Ovis aries: one gene and its partner. The protein of the gene in region 1 interacts with the protein of each later gene in a biochemical or structural test. Links are inferred from orthologs where the notes say so. Each region holds a gene or a part of one and is shown in the gene's direction. Other genes may lie near its edges.

The links.
Region 2: the proteins of CDK2 (region 1) and SKP2 form a complex in vitro, tested with the Homo sapiens proteins (3 studies listed by BioGRID, with this or other methods). The link is inferred for Ovis aries from reciprocal best matches to the Homo sapiens genes CDK2 and SKP2.

What each region holds. Positions count from the first base shown.
Region 1 is NC_056056.1:163,556,945-163,561,455, reverse strand, and holds the start of CDK2 (cyclin-dependent kinase 2), read left to right. Parts: upstream 1-1,963; 5' UTR 1,964-2,084; coding exon 2,085-2,200; intron 2,201-2,922; coding exon 2,923-3,000; intron 3,001-3,117; coding exon 3,118-3,238; intron 3,239-3,886; coding exon 3,887-4,057; intron 4,058-4,508; coding exon 4,509-4,511. Other genes in the region: melanocyte protein PMEL, read right to left, coding at 1,001-1,076. UniProt on the Homo sapiens protein: Serine/threonine-protein kinase involved in the control of the cell cycle; essential for meiosis, but dispensable for mitosis. Phosphorylates CABLES1, CTNNB1, CDK2AP2, ERCC6, NBN, USP37, p53/TP53, NPM1, CDK7, RB1, BRCA2, MYC, NPAT, EZH2.
Region 2 is NC_056069.1:38,233,835-38,238,345, reverse strand, and holds the start of SKP2 (S-phase kinase-associated protein 2), read left to right. Parts: upstream 1-1,896; 5' UTR 1,897-2,076; coding exon 2,077-2,120; exon of another isoform or gene 2,121-2,204; intron 2,205-2,618; coding exon 2,619-2,890; intron 2,891-4,511. UniProt on the Homo sapiens protein: Substrate recognition component of a SCF (SKP1-CUL1-F-box protein) E3 ubiquitin-protein ligase complex which mediates the ubiquitination and subsequent proteasomal degradation of target proteins involved in cell cycle progression, signal transduction and transcription.

The sequences.
Region 1 (4,511 bases):
TATAGAAAAATGTCTTCTTATGATTTAAAAAATCTGGATCCAAAATGTAAGCACAATATTTTAAGAGCCTTGGGTGGACACATATGAACAGAATATTTCCAGAATACAATAACGAACATAGTAAAAGAAAAAGACTTGAAACCACACTGTGAATGAGGGAAGTCAGATCAAGGAGAAGTTCCAAGAAGTCTGTGAGACCAGGGATCTAGAGAAAGGGGGCACCGGGGTACAATGTAGATATTTCTGCACATCACAGACTATCCTCACTCCATCTCTAACATGTACCAGAAACCTGGTTGATTCTCCTGGGGGACGATCTAGAATCATCCCGCTGAATATCTCACCACAAGAACAAGAGAATCATAAGATGCCCCATTCTTTCTCCACTCCCAATCCTCCCTCCTCAGAGCAGCACGAGACATTCCAGACCCTCTCACCACCCCCACCCCTTGCTCCCGTCACGAGGCCCCAATCCCCAGAGCCCTTTCATGTGATGCTCAGCTGAGACCCCTCTGCCTATCTCTTCCAGCCCCAGAACAAAAGCCTGGGCTGTGTTCACCCATGCCCATCCCAAAGAGGGGATGAGGTGCCTCTTTACCCTTCTATCCAAACACCACATTCGCTTTCTCCTCACTTTAAATACCCTATCCCAAGTGCTTAAGACAAAGCCTAAATGAGTTTCCACTCATTTTACTACCTTGGCACCCATGTTCCAGCTCACTATTCAGAGCATCTCAAAATTAGGGCCACAGAGACATACTGTTCTCTCACCCGTCCAGGTAGATGGGGTTGTTTTCAGGTTCAGTCCCAAGTGCCTGAACACATATGCACCCAAATCTTCATGTGGGGAGGGAGCTCAGTTGCCCATGTCCTCACTAAATCAAATGGATGAGAAACACCTGAAGCACTGCTGCTATCTTCCACTTTAGGGAGAGAAAAACCAGAGCAGGTGTGTAACCCTAAACTCACACTTGTTCATGTCCACACATCCCACACTCACCTTCTGTGGCCCCTACAGCCAGAAGAACACCCATCAGAGCCACATGGAGAAGGTATTTTCTCAGCACCAGATCCATCCTGTTCTTCCTTCCAGCAACCAAAGACTCTGGGGCATTGGACAAACCCCTGTATAAGAAGGGGGTGCTTATTTGCATAGCCCTTCCTCCCCTCCCTCCAGGCAAATCCTGGGAGGAGCAGAAGGATCTGAGAGACAGAACAGAGGAGGGATCCTGGTCCCTGGACATCATGCTACTCATTGACAGTTTCTGGCTTCACAGGGTCAGTCTCATCTTAAAGTACTCCATCTCCCCTCGCGGGGAAAAAATGACTGAAGGGCAGCTACAAAACATAACACGTACCGGACGCACAGGGTTCATCATTGGAGAGTGGATCAATCTATTGTGAGTCAAACCAGGAACCTCTCAAAATAACTGTAGAAGCAGCGACCCTGGGTCCAAAAACAGACAGTATTGGGGTAGGCTGAGAGAAGTGGGACAACGACTCTTCGGAGCCCTAGGAAACCCTTACAATGAGATTTCCAGTTTCCTGCTTTCAGAGGAGGCTCCAGGGCGAGGTGGAATTTAATACATATTTTCCTTAGGGTGGTGAAAACGGTGATTAGAGATCAGGAAATCCCTATAGACTCAGGACACAGAGAGAAAACTCGATCCCAAATCAGATACTTGGAAAAAGGTGTTCAGCCTCCCCATCCAGATAAAAATTTATCCTTAATACTCCTCGGAACCAAAGTTACTCGGGGTGGGGTCGTTTGCAGCGAGGGACACAGGGCTGGCCCCGCCCTCTCTGACGTAGACCAATAGGAAGATCTGAGGGAGGAGCCAGGGAAACGCGGGAAGGAGAGGCGGGGCTTCTGGTGGCGGTAGGGAACTAGAGGGGGGAGGCGGCAATATTGTTTCAAGTTGGACAAATTGACAAGAGCGAGAGATACACTACGTTCCATCCCGACCTCGGGTCGCGGTGCTGGGCCCTGTTTCCCTCCTCGGCCCCCGAGAGCTGGGTGCCGTTTTTTGCAGGTTCCCAGGCCCCAGCTCCAGGGCCGGGCTGACCCGACTCGCTAGCGCTTCATGGAGAACTTCCAAAAAGTGGAAAAGATCGGAGAGGGCACGTACGGAGTTGTGTACAAAGCCAAAAACAAGTTGACGGGAGAAGTGGTGGCGCTTAAAAAAATCCGCCTGGACACGTGAGTGGCCTCTGTACCCGGGAGTCCTGACTCGGGAGCTCCTTGAGTGCCCCCCACCCCCACCGCAACAGGCGGGTAGCCTTCCAGGGACCGGAAGGTAGCAGGGAGGGAAGTCTTTTGAAGTGGAGAGGTGGGTTGAAGGACGAGTAGAGGGTTTCCCGGTGGAGACTATAGGATAGTGTAGAATCCATGGGAAATTTCCTCCCCAGAGGCGGGCGATGTCCCCAAATGTACAGTCAGAAAGTGTCAGGAAGAGGAAGGAGCCTTTTGAGATGGGATCCAGGACTCCCCGACGAGGAGATGGGTTTTGTGATAAGTGGTAAAGAGCACCCTTATAAATGACTAGACCAGCCCTCAGTGCCCCAACCCCACCCGCATCTTAGAATTCTCTCTTTCAAAAGAATGGCAGTTGAACCTTACTGGCACCTCTAGAGAGGCTGGGTGTTGTTACTTCCACACACACACACTTTTCCCCCTTTTAACTTCACCAAGAGGCTTTGCTAACCCAGCCCTGGGCAAAGAAGATATGATGATCTTAATGGGTCTAAAAAGACACTCCTGTCCATCCATGATTTAACCACTGAAGCACCCTTTCTCTCACTTAATTAGGGGATGCTGGGTTGGTGGGGGCTGTGGGTGGGGTGGGGGGAATGACTGTACTGCTGAGGGAAAAGAAATATTTGTAACCACATTCCCATCTCTGCTTTCTCAACTTCTCCAAGTGAGACAGAGGGTGTACCCAGTACTGCCATACGAGAGATCTCTCTGCTTAAGGAGCTTAATCACCCTAATATTGTCAAGTAAGTATGTATCTGGGAGGTGGGAGGTGCTCTGACAGTAAAGGAGAATGTCTTCTGTTTGTATTGTCTGGGCCTTTCTCTCCCTCACGTGTATTCCTGGACCTCCCCCTTCCCTAGGCTGCTGGATGTCATTCACACAGAAAACAAACTCTACCTTGTTTTTGAGTTTCTGCACCAGGATCTCAAGAAATTCATGGATGCCTCTGCACTCACTGGCATTCCTCTTCCGCTCATAAAGGTACTCCTTCTCATCAACTCCTCCCCAACATGGGCATGTTTTGGGAGTCCGGACTGAAAGCAGGCAATCCGGACTGAGTGTTGATTTATCTTGGTTTCCTTCCCAGCCCTCACCCCCCTACACACACACACGCACACACCTTTTCTTGTGGCTCTTTCACTGCTCATTATGCTTTTAACCCTAGGGCTGGGCAGGGGAATCAAAGAAGTTGAAACTCTAGTAAGTCAACTTAGCAGCTCAGGTGGAAGGTTCTTGAGATGAAACTCGGATAAATGGGACTGGGGGGTACTTGGTAGATGCCTCCAGAAAGCCCTTCCACCTGTTTGGTGGGAGAAATAGCCAGTGAGTCTCTGTTGTCCATTTTTCTGGGTTCCTTACTCCGGAAGCTACTTTCGATCAACCAACAAACATCCAACACACATTTATTGAACACTTTCAATGTGCTGGTCCACGCTATGGAACATAAATGCAAAACTGAATGAGACCTGATCTTATCCTCAATGGGTTGACAGTCCAACTGGAGAAATAGCTTGAAAACATAATTACAATTTAACTAGTAAAGGCTTTAGTAGAACTTTGGAGTTACAGAGGAGACCCTAATCTGCTCACGGTGGTGGAAAAACAGAGTCTTTTCTTTCCCCTTGTCAGAGCTACTTGTTCCAGCTGCTCCAGGGCCTAGCTTTCTGCCACTCTCATCGGGTCCTGCACCGAGACCTTAAACCTCAGAATCTGCTTATCAACGCAGATGGGTCCATCAAGCTAGCAGACTTCGGACTAGCCAGAGCTTTTGGGGTCCCTGTTCGTACTTATACCCACGAGGTGAGTCCTCCTCTGCATGTCTTCTCTGAACTTCCTGGGAGGTGTTAACAAGGACATTCATAGAGTTTTTAGTAACGATCTGGCCAGCAGTTTCTCACTAGATGGAAAGTATTTCTGACACCACAAGAGGTCTTAGAGTATGCACAGAATTCATATATTGATAGATACCGAGCCAGGAGACAGGTGGAAGGCATGAAATTTAAAATTATGACCATTTGCCTCAAGTTTTCCAAGAAGGTTGCAAATTGAGGGTTCAGAATATATGTTCCCCAGAACCATGGATTAGGCTAACTCTGGGCTAAGAAGTTGTACCCAGTTATTTTACTTAGGGGCAATGAGAGTAAAGGGAAGGATGGAGGGATAGAAGTTGCTTGTGAAGAAATTGAGTTAGCAGAATAGTGTTTAGAAACTGACGTGTGGATATCTTCATGTCCTGTACTCTTTTCCTCAGGTG
Region 2 (4,511 bases), on another chromosome or scaffold:
ATCATGGCATTAAAATTTTTTTTATTTCTTCTCCTCCATTAGTTTATAAGCTCCCTCTGTCTTGTTCAATTTCCTGAAGAAGACTAAATATTTCCTCTGAATTGCATTTTTTTTGTTTGACATTTTGTTTTATTTTACTTTACAATACTGTATTGGTTTTGCCATACATCAACATGAACCCGGCACGGGTGTACATGAGTTCCCAGTCCTGAACCCCTCCTCCCACCTCCCTCCCCATACCATCTCTCTGGGTCATCCCAGTGCACCAGCCCCACGCATCCTGTATCCTGCATCGAACCTAGACTGGCAATTTTAAGAGAAAGGATGTAGACTTCAAGCAGGCTACTGCTTTCTCCTTAGCCACAATATCATGAAGATAACTTTATGTAAAAAATAGAACACTGAATTTAAAAATATTTTCCATGTAACATTAGCTTAATGAATTGTGAACATTCAGCTTAGTATTCTTCATCTAGTTTCAACTAGAATCAATCAGTGAGCAGATCCATTCTTTACCCCAGTTTTATCTAGTTTCAAGAGTCAACTACTAAAGGATCACGAACGCCCTCCTCTGTCAAGAGGTGGTTCCATTTCAAGCTATGCACCAAGCCTGAAACAAGCTGATATTCAAGAGGGGGAGGTTTAACTCCAGTGTAAATTGAATTTTTTTTTTTAAGAAATAAGAAGGTATGCCACACAGCATGCTTAAGTGATATTCTAGTATTTTTGTGATGACGCTGGGTGCTTCTTTCTGAACTTTATAAATCCTCTCCATTTTTACTAGGGTTGGAAGTTATTCCCCCTCTCTCTTCCACTGTTTTCCCAGGCTCGCAGTTATAGAACATTTGCACAATGGATTTCGCACGGTCATCCTACCCAGAAAATGGCACTCTCTAACCATCTCCAAACTTTTCTCCGTGGATATAGTCTAAAAGCAAGCAGCTGACTTTTAGGACGTGAGGCAAACAGAATTTTTTTTTTTTTTTTTTTTGAGACAGTAATCGAATGGTTTTGCTGGTGGCCGCTAGCGTGGCACGGAAAGCCTTTTGCAAACAATAGTCACCTTATTTGTTCTCATGCTAGCATTTATGAGACTTCTCAAGGCTGCCGGAGATGCTGAGCTTTCCCCTGGCACTCACAGCAATCTCCTGCTCCCCTAAAATTAAACCTCCGCCTGACGTTTGAACCGCGCTTTCGTTTACAAAACGCTCTCACGAGCCTCCTCTGATTTGACGGCGACTGTGAAACGAGCGTTCTTGCCGTGGTGCCTATTTTACACGTAAGGAAAGGATCCTGTCCACAGACCTAGTCCTTAGGGCCGCCCTCACCCGGGTGGAGTACGCAGCTCCAGGCAGAGAGGGGAGCAGGTGTGACGCCCACGGCCGCAGCCTCTCACCTGGCCGGCAGGGCGTGCCACGGCCTCCACTCAGCTACCTGGGACGTAGGCCCCGCGACGGCGGCCTCTCGGGGTCTCCGGGGCCCCCCTCAGTCCGCGCTCGGCCCCACACCTCAAAGTGCCTCACGCTCTCCTCCTCGGGCTCACCGTCCGATCTCGCCGGACAGCGTCCAGAAGGGCCTGGAAACCCCGCGGCCGCCACAGCCTTACAGGGTTTGGGACCCACACTCCTTGGCGACAGCGGCGGCAGTCACCAAAAGGTCGGGGGGTCCCGAGAAAGGAAACCCGAACCCCAGTCAAGCAGCTGACATTTCCCCAGTTAGCCGGAGCACCGCCCACTTCCGCTTCCCCGCCTACCCTGTGGGTCGTCCGGTCCCGCAGCCGCGCGGGGTTGTGGGTATCTCGAAGGCGGCAAAGCTGCAAGGAAAGGAAGTAGTGGCGAGGCAGCCGGACTACCAGGCTGGGCAGAAACTACAATTCCCAGCAGGCAGCGGGGCCGCAGACGACGGCTGCGGAGGAGAGCCGGCTGGCTGGAGAATTCTGCGCGCGCTGCTGGGATGGAACGTTGATAGAGTTCGCGGGTTTCGCTGCAGCAAGCCGGGGCCGCACGCAGTGCGCCGCACGCAGTGCGCCGCCGCGCGCCAAAGCGGGAATTCGGGGGGCGGGCACCTCTGCAATTAATGCACGCATTTAAAACTCCCGAACCTGCGGACGCCATGCACAGGTAAACCGATTGCAGAAGGAGACAGAACATGAATGGACCGTCTTAATTCTTTTAGGCCGCGTGTTTTGCTACTTGGCTAATATTGTTAGTAATGCTGTAATGTGAATGGCTGCTTAGCCTCTTTGGGAAAACGTGGATGGGTGGATGCTTTAGTGCGGTGGTCAGCGTGGATGTTATTTGTCTTCCCTTATTGGGCTTTCCTGCTGCTGTTTTCAATCAGTGTGTGATTGCCCTGCCTCTTTCCTTGTATGTTCCCTCCACTTTTAAGAAATTCTTGAGGCCTTCTGCATGATCGGAAATCGAAAAGCCTTTTCGATGTGTTCGGTTATTTTCTCTTTTATTCTTGGGGACTCGCCGCCGGCACGTAAAAATGCAGTTCAGTTAACTGCTGTGAAAGCTTTCTGCGGTGCATAGCTTGCAGCTTCCTTTAGGCCTGTCTGGGAATTATTTACGGGCGTGTTTTTGAAAGGAACGTGGGGCTATTGTGCGTTTCTGCAGGAAACACCTCCAGGAGATACCCGACCAGAGTAGCAACGTTACCACCAGTTTCACGTGGGGATGGGATTCTAGCAAGACTTCTGAACTGCTTTCAGGCATGGGGGTCTCCGCCCTGGAGAAGGAGGAGGTGGACAGTGAGAACATCCCCCAGGAACTGCTTTCAAACCTGGGCCACCCACAGAGTCCCCCACGAAAACGGCTGAAAAGCAAAGGAAATGACAAGGACTTTGTGATTGTCCGCAGACCTAAGCTAAACCGAGAGAACTTTCCAGGTAAGGTTTGAGGGTAAAATACAAGCCCAGTCAATGGTGGATTAAATTGACCGGTTATTTTGTCGGTAGACCTTTGTTTAGGGTTATTTAGCATGGGGTGGGGCCCTTCTAAAGAAATTGTAATTTAAATTTATTTATTTATTTTTGTCCGTGCTGGGTCTTCCTTGTTGCCCCGGCTTTTCTCCAGTTGCAGAGACTTCTCTTTGGGGGAGCATGGGCTCTAGGACGCAGGGGCTTCGGTAGTTGGAGCACGTGGACTCGGCAGTTGCGGGTTCCAGGCTTTAGAACACAGCCTCAATTACTGTGGCGCTGGGGGCTCAGTTGCTCTGCTGCGTGCGGGATCTCTTCCCAGATCAGGGATCGAACCAGTGACTGCTGCATTGGCAGGCAGATTCTTTACCTCTGAGCCACCAGGGAAGGCCAGATAGGGTCCTTTTAAAACTGCCCAATTCCTAAGTTATTTTCCAAAGAAACCAGACCACTGGTTGTGCTTACAGAAATGGTGGTATGTGTGTGTCTTCAGAGACAGAACTGACTTGTAACCGGTGAAAAGACATTCCTTCCTTTTTCTTTAGGAGGGACTCTGCCTGGTTAAGGGCCAGCTCAATACCTCTGACAAATAGAAACAAAGCAATGATCCATAGAATTCTTTTTGTTTATATTTGGCTGCTCTGTAGCCGCTGTTGAGCCTTTTACCATAATCACTTTAGTTATTTATCAAAGGACTGCTGAAGTGAATGTTGAGCTAAGGGGGAGAGACTCATCCTTACAGATCCATTCCCAAGAGGAATTCTTTATGCTGTCTCCATCACTCACTGTGTTATCTGTTCAGTTTCCCCAACCCCATAACCTAAAGGTCAGTCAGATTCCCACCATCCCCCCCCAAAATCCAACCAATCATTGAATCTTTCCCTCTTGTCTCCTAAATATTTCTCATATTTAGGAAGGGACTCATAATTCAGAGCCTTATCCTCCCCAGATCCATCCCCCAGAGCTAGAGTGGACTGATTGAAATGTAGAACTCCACTACGTCATTCCCCTCTAAATAGCTCTCTGTTTCCAGGCTTCTCAAGCTGATTTATAACTGCCTCCCACCGTGGATCAGAGCTCCAGGAATACTCAGAACCATAGGGTAAACATAGTGCGTTGACCTGGGGTTATCAGTTTTTCTTACTGGCAAGCCATGTAAAACATTAATTCAGCAAATATTTGCTGAGCACATTGCGTCTGCTAGGCATTGTTCTAAGTACTGGGGATATAGCAGTGAGCACAATAAAAGCATTTCTACCCTCATGGAGCTTCTCTTCTAGAAAGAGGATGCAGTATGCACAAATCTGGTGTGTAGTATGTTAGAATAAGTGCTATGGCTAAAAACAAAAATAGAACACGCCTAGAGGGACAAGAGATCCTGGGATGGGAAGCTGGTTTGCAGGATATTGAAGAAGCCTCACTTGGACAGTGAGCTGTAAGCAAAGGCATAAAGGAGATGAAGGAATGTGCCATGCAAATATCTTGGAGAAAAGAGCCCCAAGCAGAAGGAGCAGGTAGTGCAAAGGCCCTGGAGCAGGAGAATGATGTGTTTGTTCAAGGAACAGCAAGGAAGCCATATTCCAAGAGTAGA